2 linked regions of the Rattus norvegicus genome follow. Each later gene encodes a partner of the first gene's protein in a complex. Links are inferred from orthologs where the notes say so. Each region holds a gene or a part of one and is shown on either strand. Other genes may lie near its edges.

Region 1 (3,600 bases):
GAGGGGGTCTAGAATCTCTGCTTGTAAGAAGGACTCAAGGCTCTAAGCTAAAAGAATTTCTTACACTCTTGCACAGTGGCCCACCTGGGAGGCTGTGACCACATGCGTTTCCTCTTCCTCACAGGTGACTTTGGGAATCCCACCAACTGACTTCCAAGCTAAGAGCTTGTGTGATGACCTGGAGTCTGCAGGCTGAGCTCCCTAAAGTATACACATCTGCATCCATTCGTTTCCAGGCTAATCATTAATGTGCTCTCTAGTGTTTCCTTATACGTTCTGCATGTGAAGCCTGATTCTGCAGCTAAATTGCTGCAACGAATATGGCTTAAACTACCTTCCGGGTCTGGATTTCAGTCACTTCCTCCAGAAAAGAGATGTTTTCTTTTCAATGTTTATTCATTAAAGAAGTCGTTCCCAAGTATTTTCCATTGGCCGGACCAGGACCAGGCAATGACGGCCCCCAGAGTCGAGCTGGGGATCTAGAGGCAGAGACTAGCACTAAGCCACTCTGAATTAGACAGTGATAGAGTAAGTGCAGTTGGATCCAAGCGCTAACAGATGCGTCTACTGAGGATGCTGGTGACTTGGGATCAAGCTCTGATATCCCTGAGCTGCCAGTGATTCTCCAAAAATGGGTGATTGGTTCCGTGGGCTCCAGCTTCTCATGCAGGAGCCAGGACTTGGACAAGTGGATTCTCCAAGTTTCAATGACAAGAGCCTCAAAGGGCTAAAGGGCACATCCTTCACCTGAGGCAATGCACTGCGAGATGCCCGCTGGACCACACTGCGCACTAGTCTCCCCAACTGTGGCGCCTGTGCGGTCGCTGCATGTGGCCACAGCGACATCTCCTGGAGAGAGGTAACTCTAGCACGTGACCTTCCGCGAGCCTGAGTCCCGGTGCTGCTTCTCAGTATACAGCTTTCCGGCCTGCGAGCTTCAAGCATGGCCAGGAGAGTGAAGTCACAGTCCCTGCGGGTCCGAGGACCCGACCCTGGGGTTTAGGTTTCGCGCGACGGAAACGGAGGACGGGCCCCTGGGTCGTAAACAACACTGCGCCTGCGCACTCTTGCCTTTACGCGAACTCGTCACCGCTTGAGAAATTTGTCCTAGATGAGTTGCCATCTGTTTCCAAGACAACCCAGGAGCCTCCTGGCAAGGGCGCGCGGCCCAGCCTGCAATGGCTGCAGCAAGTCCCAGTGTCTTCCTGCTCATGGTCAACGGGCAGGTAGAGAGCGCACAGGTAAGCAGCCACTTACTCCTCCCGTTCCTCTCCCTGGGCTCTCTCCTCTGCTCTTAGAGAGTCAAGCCATTGCTCTGAGCGTCTCAAATAATTGGGAAGGCGAACCAGCATTTGAGAACCTTGGTGCCAGGTTGATGGACCGGACAAGCACGAGTGAAAACTGACCTCGAGGTGTTGAGCTGGTACCAAAGTCACACTATGGTCTCTTGCTTGGCTCCTGTTTACTTGGTTGAGTGATGGTCTAGAACTAATGGGATTCAGCCGATCATTTAACAGCTAGGAACTTAGCGGAAGGCAGTGGCCAAGTGGGATTTGACCCGGGTCTGACAGACAGAACTTTGCTACATTCTTCTTCTGGGCTGCTTGTTGAAAATGCTCATTATTCCTACATGTTCTGAGGTTTGGCTGAGATGATTTAAGTTCTACCAGGTCTGAAGCTCAGTAGGTGTTCCTGCCTTCCCATTCATTGGTACTGCATCCTCCGTTTTCCAGTAAGTGGATGCCTACCTGGGCTGCTTCCTCTGGACACCTTCCTTCAGCTTCTGCTCTGGGCCTTCCCTTCTTCCCGGCCCTCAGTTCTAGCCATGTTCTTTGGCCCTGTAGCTTCTTGGGTTCCACTGTAGCTTCTTGGGTTCCACGGCAGCTCATTTCTGTAGCTCTAACTTATGCCCCGAGGCATGAAACCCGTTCCTTCCTCAATCTAACAGGGCTTGTCAGATAGACATTGGTTTCCTGGATGCAGAAATGCAGAGGAGCGTTGGGAGCCAAGCGATGATCCTTAAGCCAGCTAGAGAGTAAAGAATTCCCTGAGGGTGAATTCTGAAAGATGGGCAAGGGGCCTGCCACATGATGGACTGGGAAAGACAGAAAACAGAGCAAAATAACCCGTGATAATTGGCAGTCTGGGACTAACCCCAGTTTCATTTCCATTCCCTGTCCCTGCTGAAACCCATGTCCACATCCTCAACCCCAGATTTCTCATGTTCATGATTCCTACCCACTGCACCTGCCTAGCTAGTGTGTGGGTCCAGTTTGCACTTTCTAGACCAAAGCCTGTATACTTTTCTCTCAGTTTCCAGAGTACGATGACCTCTACTGCAAGTACTGCTTTGTGTACGGCCAGGACTGGGCCCCAACAGCGGTGAGTTGGACTCATGGGCCTCCCCTAGAGCTCTTGTGATTCTTAAAGTTTTCTCATATGCTTCTATTCCAGACCCAACAGGTAGACACTAAGGTCAGAGATGACCCAAACATGAGCTCCTTTCTAGCAAAGCTAGTTTACAGTATACTACGGGGTTCACTCATCTGTGTTGGTGGCAGTCAAGAATAAGAAGTGGCAGCCTTCAAAAAAGAAAGAAAAAAGAAAAAAAAAAAAAAAGACGTGGCAGGCTCTGGAGAACCAGCTGCCAATGGCTATGGACACCCATCAGCCAATACCCCCCCCCCCCAAAATGTGGCCCCTTCTCAGACAACAAAAACCAACCAGAACAAAATAAAGGGTCTGTTCTCGAGGTTTTGAGTTCTTTACCACAGGAAGGGGCTGCAGTGAAGACCACCACCACACCATACTTCATTGTTTGCATAGCCTAACCTTCACAATAGTTTAAAAAGCCAGCCAAACATGATAGCATCTGCCTGTAATCCAACACAGAAGGCTGAGGCAGGAGTGTCTCTAGGAATTCAAGGTCAACTCTGGGCTACATATAGGAGGACCACACAACTGGAAAAAATAAAAAATCCAACGTCAGGGTTGGGGATTTAGCTCAGTGGTAGAGCGCTTGCCTAGCAAGCGCAAGGCCCTGGGTTCGGTCCCCAGCTCCGAAAAAAAAGAAAAAAAAAATGTCCAACGTCTTTGAGCCAGAGTTTCTTCATCTGTACCACAGACATGTTAATACTTTTTGGGTTTTCTCTTATGATACTTGCATAGAGATTAATTCTATTTTAAGTTGTGTGTCTATATATCTGTGTATGGGTATGAATGCAAGTGGAGGCCACAGGTCAGATCCCCTGGAGCTGGAACTGCAGGTGGCTGTGAGCTACCTTTGGGGCTGGAGAAAATTACTGAACAGAATATGTACTTTTGCAGAGGACCCCAGCTTGATTCTCAGCACCCACACTGTGGCTCACAACCATTTATAACTTAGTGACTATTATTGAGTCCCCTGGGAGTGACCAATGTCTGACAGAGTCCCCATCTTTGTGGAGAACATCTGTACTTGTTAAGGAGACACTACGTAGGATACGTTCTGTGCTACGTTCAAGGACAGGTGGAATGAAGAGGGAGTAGATCAGGAGCTAGAGTGTACAGGTAACTAGGAGGGTAGAATCTAGACCAAGGCATTTCAAGGGCGGGTAGAGA
Region 2 (8,203 bases), about 7.6 Mb from region 1:
TATGCTGATTTCAATGTAACACAGTTCCAACAATCTTAGGACTAATCCACACTGATGTAACCTTTGCCTGATCTTCTCTTTCTTTCTTCCTTTCTTTTCTCTTTTTGAAAAAGAGCCATACTGGGATTAAAGATGTGCGATATCCTTCCAGACTTCTATTACCTTTTTAAATTTTTTACTTATTTTATTTTTTTAGGGGAGCCAGCTCATGTTTAATTGTGGTTTTTTTCTTTTTCTTTTTCTTTTTCTTTTTTTTCGGAGCTGGGGACCGGACCCAGGGCCTTGCGCTTGCTAGGCAAGCGCTCTACCACTGAGCTAAATCCCCAACCCCTAATTGTGATATTTTTAATTGTCCAAGTTTTAGACATCTACCTTCCCACCACATGTGTATGTAGTGTCTTTAAATTACAGGAACATGTCACTGAAAGGTAAGGAATGCTTGAGGAATGTATTGCCCTTGCACAGAGGCTACCGGAACCCTCTGTGTCCTCCAGTTTTGGTATCTGTGCTGCTGAAGTGAGCCTGTATGTGTATATAAAGCCATACAGCCCGTGTACATATAACCTTGGGAAACAGAAGCCAGTGACATTTCCGAGGTAGATGAGATGGACTGACAACCAGGAGACAGTTATAAGAAAACTTTGTACAGGCTTCGCACTCAGCTCTCTTAAATTCACTGCTTATAAAAGTGTTTTGAGAAAGCTTTGAGAGATTTGCCTACAAAAAGGAGCAGATGTTCTGGGGTCAAAGGGATCTGTACTTGACAATTCGGTTAACAGAGGATAGTGCTCAGCGTTCGGCTGACAGAACTGCTTCAAGCCTGCAGCTGCTTGGGGAATTTCTCAGGTTGGGCTCAGCCTCCATCCTGAGCTGCTCAACTACCGCCCTCTTCACAGCATTGATGCTGGAGGAATGCAGCGGGGACCTCAAGAGCTGGGCCAATTTGTCCATCCTTACAAGGGGCAGCAAGGTCCTCTTGCTTTGTTGGGGGAAAAGGGTCTTACTCTGCAGCCCTGGCTGGGTGGAATTCACTTGTGGGTGGCGCTCCTGCCTCTGCATGCTGAGTGCTGAGATTGTGGACATGATCACCGGTTCTGGCTTCTTTAAGTTTTTAATGCTGAGGATTTCACCGAGGGCCTCAAGGCACAGCAAGTATACACTCACTGGTGAGCTAGCTGTGTCTCCAGTGTAAATATAACCTGCTTAATCGCAAGTTCACACTGCTTAATTTAAATAAGAGTTATGTTTGGCAACCTGTCAGTAAAGCTCCCGGAAAAAGTAATTTTTTCCAAGTTCAGTAAGACACATGCAAGGGTGTGGGTGTGGGCTTCTCACAGAGCTGTAGTTAAGTTTCTGAGCAATAGCTGAGACATATGTAACATTTTGGTGGCTCTCAAGTTACAACTTCAAGCTTTGCTACTAAACTCCTAAAATCTTTCTTTTTTGGGGGGTGAAGGGGAGGTAGCATGTACCACAATTTACAGGATTAAACAAGTCTGGGAGTGCTGGGAAATGTCTCTATATGCCCAAAGCTGAGTATAGGTCATATCACATCTATTTTCTCAGTATTGTTAATAGGGCTTTGCCTACGGTAAGGAGGTCATTGAATTGAAATGTGGGGATGAAGGCAAGAGACGCTTTAGGTCATAAGGGTTAAGGCCTCATCAGAAAGGATCTCCTGGTAAGCATGAGGAGGGGCCAAGGTTGCTTTCCCCACACCGAGCCTAGAGTGCTTTCTAGAAGCTGGGCAAACAATCAGCAGCAAGGCACTTGTTGTCATAGAAATAAGGTCTGAGCAATCAGTCAGTCATATACACAATTACTAAAAGCACCTTAAAGTCATGGCTCTGACCAGTGTTAGGAGAAATTTCAGGAGCACAGGACAAAATTCCTAAATTCTATCAGTCAGTACATGCGAAATAAATATGATCGTCAGAGAATCAGATAGGAGCAATCAGGATGTTGTCAGGTCCTGATTACACGGAAATGCTAATCAGCAGATCATGCAAGCTCCAATCATCATTTTCTATCTGCCCTCCGAGAGGAGGAACAGGTAAGGATTAACCTCCTGACGATAAAGGACAAAGGGAGCCCATTCCTAATTAAGTAAAGACATTCCATATTAAAGAAAGGGTGAGAATATGACAATTTAGCACGAACCCAATGACTTATAGTTATTGCAACTCAAGAGCAATATCTATTTGCAAGTCGCCTGAAATATTTTATTTTTCCATTCGGCGCAGAAAGAGAGAAACAAAGTTCTCCCATAATGCTCCGCTCACATACAGCAAATTAGAAGCCCTATGTGAGGTTCTTATTTACATATTCCCGCCCACTCACTTCCGCCTATTTTGTACCGTAAAAATCCAAATAGAAGCATAAGCTACTAGCTCACGTACAGAAGGCTAGAAAAAAGCCTTTATTTACATCAGCCTTTTGATTTACCCAATGGTCTTCTGACAAATAGTCTAAGCCTTGCTCTTATTATAAAATGAATTTTATTACAAAACTCTAATAAAATTATAACCCAAGATTTGTGAGATCTTATCCCAACATTGCCATTTTCTGTTTAGACGCAGTTGGGAGGAGCAAAAGACTAGGGCGAGAGAAAACTGAAGCCTCTCCCTTTCTTCTTCCAGCAATGGGAGGGAGTTCATCACGTTTCCGGCTTTGGTCTCTTCATCGGATTGTGATCAGAAGGGTTTCTTTTTCAGCCCAAAGACAGCGATGAATAACGCAGTTTCAGTGACAGCTGGAAAAGCGCTGTGGAAGTAGGGGGTGGGTTTAGAGCCCCTTCCGACCCAAACACTCAAACCTCCAAGCCTTATATGTGAGTGGGTTAGCGGATGGGTACGACTCTTTAAAACTCTACCAATTTCACATGTGCAGGAAAGGTCTAGGTGGGGGAAACCTTCAGATTTGGGGTAGACTTTCCACCACCCTCCATTCCAAAATAACCTGCAGAAGGCAAAAATGTACCAGTACGTGGTACATTCCCATCGCTCGAATATGAAGAAAGATAGGGCCACAGACGCGCTACAGTGGGCTGCAATGGCTTAAAAATACAGCAGAGTCAAGGAAAATAATAGGTAAGTGATGGGTCCCTTTAGTACTCGGACTTGGGCTCAGCTTGTTCCCTTCCCTTAAGACAAACACCAGAGTTGGCAGCCATGCCTTCTGAATTTGTGGACACTTATGTGTAAGAGGCCAGAGCTGAGTTTGTTTTGATAGGACCTCTCCCTGTACACTTTTGGGAGTTAATGTCACATATGCCCTAGGCCTCACAAGAATACCTACAGGTCTGATACACTGTGGGAATTTCTCCAGTGCTCTGGTCCTCCTTGTCCACAACTCAGAGTCAACGGCTATCTTTTTTTTTTTTTTTTTTTTTTTAAAAAACAGGGTCTCTCTATGTAGCCCTGGCTGATTTGGAACTCACTATGTAGGCCAAGCTGGCTTCGAACTTAGAGATTCACCTGCTCCTGCCTCCCTAGTGCTAGGATTAAAGGTTTGCAACATCACACCCGGGTATCGAGAACCTTCCTATGTGTCTCATTTTCTTGGTCCCTTTTGAGTTCCCACAATGGTTTGTATTTTGCACACTCCTACAGAATACTGTTTAATCACACTGATTTACAGATGTTTATCCATCTCTTCCTCAAACAGGATAAAGTGGTTTTACTCCCACTCATGGATCGCCAGAACCTGGCTCACATCAGGGTTTAAGGTTTGAAGTCTATTAATTCCCCAAAACTGTCTAAAACCTCTCACCTAGAGAGATTCGCTTTGCCACGTAGGGCAGAGACTTGTGCCCAAAAGGCCTACAGAAGTGGAAAGAGTGAGTGGTGATGATGTCGCATGGGGACGCTGGCCAGGCAGAAAGGATACAGAGGAGGCTCTGGGTGCTATTAAACATGGAGACTCCTGAGAGGAAGCCAGCCAGCTCCACTGCAAAGAGGCCCAGGGTGAGGCAGAGCGCTGCTACCAGTCTGCAGAGAGAAAGGGTGATGGACCTGGGTTTCCGGATTGCGTAGAAGACCCTGGCACTCTCACCCCGCCCCAAGAGCTCACTGGTTGTCCTGCTTCTCATATTCCTCCGGGGTGAACTTGAGAGGCAGGCAAGCCTGGATGTTGCTTTCCTGGTGAGCCGGGCAGAAAGAAAGAAAGAAATGTCAAAAGAGGGATGGGGTTGCGGGGGACGGGAGCAACGGACCCAGTGTGGGTCTGTGGGAGTGGACTGAGCTGAGCTGGGTCCACTCTAAGGTGAGAATGGGAGGGACAAGAAGACACGCGCGCGCGCCCTGTCCACGTCTTACCCGGGACCAGAACAAAGTGATGACAATCACCAGATGAGCCAAGAGCGTCAGGAATCGAGAGGGCACGAGCCCGGAGATCCGACCCATGGCCTCGGGGGCCCAAAGCGGAGGCCGTAGAAGTCTGAGGAGGGTCACTCATCAAGTCTCCCAGAGCAAGCAGGCCAGACCTCTCTACTTAAGCCTCCTTCCCGCGTGCTCAGGCGCCGCCCGGTTGCCATGGTAACTGCGTCCTCAGGCGCCATGCAGCTGCCTCCGGAAGTCTCGCGATAGTGCTGCGCCCTCTGCAGATGTCTATAGGCCAGGTACCCGAGCCGATGCTCACCTCCTGGTGCTTGTGGGATGAATCCGGGAGGATGCACCCGTAACCACCAAATCCTCCCTTTTCCTGTGCTTCCCACTCACTGCCTTGGGCGCCAGGAGATGAGGGAACGAAGGAGTAGAGCTTCAGCACCGAGCTTTGCCCCACAGTCTCGCCAAGCCCTCCCCGCCCCCCCCCCACAGCCCCTGGTTGTCAGAGGGCTCCCTCTCCCACCCAAGACCAAACCTCTGCCGATGAACGACTCTAATTTCTCCCTAAATAACTTGTCTCGGTTTCATGAAAGATTTGCCGAGTGCAGAAATGAGCAACCTTGGAATGGGTAGAATAGGATGTGGGTGGATGAGGTGACAGCCTCCTCGGGATCCCAAGGGATCTGAAAAGGTGAAGAATGGAGTGGGGGACTAGAACAGCTTGTGCGCCCCTGGGAGGCTTAAACCAGGCTGATTCACCACCGATTTCACTCTCGCTTTGAGTTGCCAGGCCGCGGACATTGCTCAGTTACAGACCCAGAACCTCTTCTTAGGGTGATGTGACTGATTTGGGGCTTCGGATGAAATGCCTGCGATCGGAAAGTTCTCACTACCATCCCAGTTCACAATCAAGTCCCATTGACAATGAACCTCCTCCTTTTGCACCCCCTCTTCTCTCATTTCTCTGTGTGTGTGTGTGTGTGTGTGTGTGTGTGTGTGTGTGTGTGTGTGCCTCTAAACCAGCCTAAAAGACAAGACCCAGAGGGATTTCATTCATTCAACAAATATCTGATGTCTCCCAGATGCCAGGCACTGTGCTTGACTCAGAATACATCGATAAAGTCCCTCCAGTTTATATTCTAGGCAGAGAGACTGATAACAAAACAAACAAACAAAACAAAACAAACAAATACACACACACACACACACACACACACACACAAAACCCCAACAAAACCCTGCAAGGTAATGTATGCTGTAAATTTAAAAACTTTAAAGGGTGACACTAGAATAATATCAAAGGAAAGTTTTGAAATAGATAATTCCTAAATTTTCGTTTCAAGGAATTGGGGGGAGGGGGAGAGAGAGAGGAAATGTTTCTGTCTCCCTAAAGTAATACATGGGGTCCCCTTACCTAAACCAGTGAGTAAAAACATTTAGAATGCAGAGTCAACGTTTTTTACTTAAAGGTCATGAAAGACAGGCTGGAGTTCTTCCCACTGAGTGGGGGATAAACCTAACCTAACATGAGATCCCAAACCAGACAAAAGACACCCCCCACCCACACACACACTCACACTTTCATTATAAAAGACTGGTGGAATGTTTGACAAACAGTATAGTATTTGTAACTTAAATAACAACAACGTAGATTTTTTTAATTTTTTATTTATTATATATGAATACACTGTAGCTGTCCTCAGACACACCAGAAGAGGGCATCAGATCCCATTATAGATGGTTGTGAGCCACCATGTGGTTGCTGTGAACTCAGAACCTCTGGAAGAGCAGTCAGTGCTCTTAACTGCTGAGCCATCTCTCCACCCCCAATGTCCTGATTCTTTTCTTCAGTATTGGAGATAAGCTTTTGCATATAGGTAATAGGTAAGCACCCTCCACTGAGCTATACTTCCACTTTCCCTTCTGAGTCTTATAGTATATCTTCATCGATGCATAGAGTGGCATTCTAAGTCATTTGTAGCATTAAATGTTCTTATTTATTGAAATTCCCCCTTTATATTGAAACTTCTGCCTGTGCTGCACTGGGAATCAAATGCAGAGTCTGGACCACACGAAAAAACTGCTTTCCTACCGAGCTCCTACATGGTGAAATTTTATAGTAACTTTTTCATATAAATATGAATCTTAAGCTGGATAAGGGGAAAACACCTACAGTCCCAACACTTGGGAGGTAGAGGAAAGAGGGTCAGAAATTCGAGATCGTGCTCAGTTAGTCGGTTCAATAAAACAAAGAACTAAAATGACTTTACAAACAAACTGTAGAGGTGGCTCAGTGGTTATCCCAGCACCAGGTGTTAATCCCAGCACTCAGGAGGCAGAGGCAGTCAGATCTCTGTGTTCGAGGCGAGCCTGCTCTACAAAGCAGGACAGCCAAGGCTACACAGAGAAATCCTCTGTTGAAACAAAGATCACAGAACACTCTTGTTAAATTCAGTTCCCAGCACCCGTATTGTGTTGCTTACAACCTCTTGTAACTCTAGAGATTCGGTGCCCGCTTTTGGAAGCTGCACACAAACACACACAACACACACTCAATGCACACACACACTCATACACACATACATATGGACTCACACTCAATGCACAAACACACTCAACACACAACACAGACTCACACTCAATGCACACACATACACACGGGCTCACACTCAATGCACACACACTCATATACATACACACACGAACTAACACTCAATGCACACACATACATTCACACACACACTCAATGCACACACACTCATACACACACAGCACACTCATACACACACGCATGCATACACACACACAGACTCACACTCAATGCACACAAACACACACACCACACTCAACACACACACGGACTCACACTCAATGCACACACACATATTCATACATACACACACGTTCATACATACACAAACACACACACACGGACTCACACTCAATGCACACACACATTCATACACACACACAGACTCACACTCAATGCACACACTTATACACAATATTTAAAAGAAATTGTGAGGCCTGGTGGCTCATAGCTTTAGTTCCAGCACTCAGGAGGCAGAGGCAGACAGGTCTGTAAGGTACATAGTAAGGGGGTTGGGGATTTAGCTCAGTGGTAGAGCGCTTTGCCTAGCAAGCGCAAGGCCCTGGGTTCGGTCCCCAGCTCCGAAAAAAAGAAAAAAAAAAGGTACATAGTGAGATCCTGTCTCAAAAAAGATACGTCAGTTAATTAGTTTAATCAAGTCACCTCTTAGCTCCATATGGTGGCACACTGAAGACAGCCAGGGCTAACAGCTAACAAACATTGTTGGTTTGGTTTGGTTTGGTTTTGAGACATAGTCTCATATATAGCTCCATCTTTCCTAGAATCCACTATGCAGATCAGGCTGGTCCGCCCGCGAACTCACAGAGACCCTCCTGCCTCTGGGTTCAAAAGTGTTCATCACCATTCCTAGCTACATTTATTTACTTTTTTTTGGGGGGGGGGGTATTCTCCATCATAGAAGTCAGGGTGCTGTAAAATATGTCACTGCGCTTAAGGGCACAGACAAAATGAAAGAACGCAAGAGTTCGAGTCTTTTCCCTGCCTGTGACTTGTGAGGCTGAGCTCGGTGACGACGTAGCTGGCGACTATCTCCAGGCAGAAGAAGCTGTGTCAGAGGACTAAGTGAGGAAAGGCTCGGGCTTGCGTTGGAGGATTTCCAAAGATCTAAGGGCAGGAGCCAGCCGCTTGGAGATCTGCGGAAACAGCATTCCAGACGAGGGAGGAGCCAGGCCTAGATGAGCCTGTGTGTTTGCCAGACAGAAGGAAGCCAGGGATTCTGAAGCCTAAGGAAGCAGAAGAGATCAGATCGATGTTGGAGAGGTGGACG

Evidence for each region. The genes of interacting proteins can lie anywhere in the genome.
Region 2: B9d1 (region 1) and Tmem107 share a complex: the UniProt entries of both Homo sapiens proteins name them as parts of the tectonic-like complex. The link is inferred for Rattus norvegicus from reciprocal best matches to the Homo sapiens genes B9D1 and TMEM107.

The regions. Positions count from the first base shown.
Region 1 is NC_086028.1:46,685,029-46,688,628, forward strand, and holds the start of B9d1 (B9 domain-containing protein 1), read left to right. Parts: upstream 1-1,119; 5' UTR 1,120-1,178; coding exon 1,179-1,241; intron 1,242-2,313; coding exon 2,314-2,382; intron 2,383-3,600. UniProt on the Homo sapiens protein: Component of the tectonic-like complex, a complex localized at the transition zone of primary cilia and acting as a barrier that prevents diffusion of transmembrane proteins between the cilia and plasma membranes.
Region 2 is NC_086028.1:54,267,527-54,275,729, reverse strand, and holds Tmem107 (transmembrane protein 107), read right to left. Parts: upstream 4,535-8,203; 5' UTR 4,404-4,534; coding exon 4,317-4,403; intron 4,140-4,316; coding exon 4,072-4,139; intron 4,014-4,071; coding exon of another isoform or gene 3,990-4,013; coding exon 3,889-3,989; coding exon of another isoform or gene 3,772-3,888; intron 3,056-3,771; coding exon 2,959-3,055; coding exon of another isoform or gene 2,764-2,958; coding exon 2,694-2,763; 3' UTR 2,210-2,693; downstream 1-2,209. UniProt on the Homo sapiens protein: Plays a role in cilia formation and embryonic patterning. Requires for normal Sonic hedgehog (Shh) signaling in the neural tube and acts in combination with GLI2 and GLI3 to pattern ventral and intermediate neuronal cell types.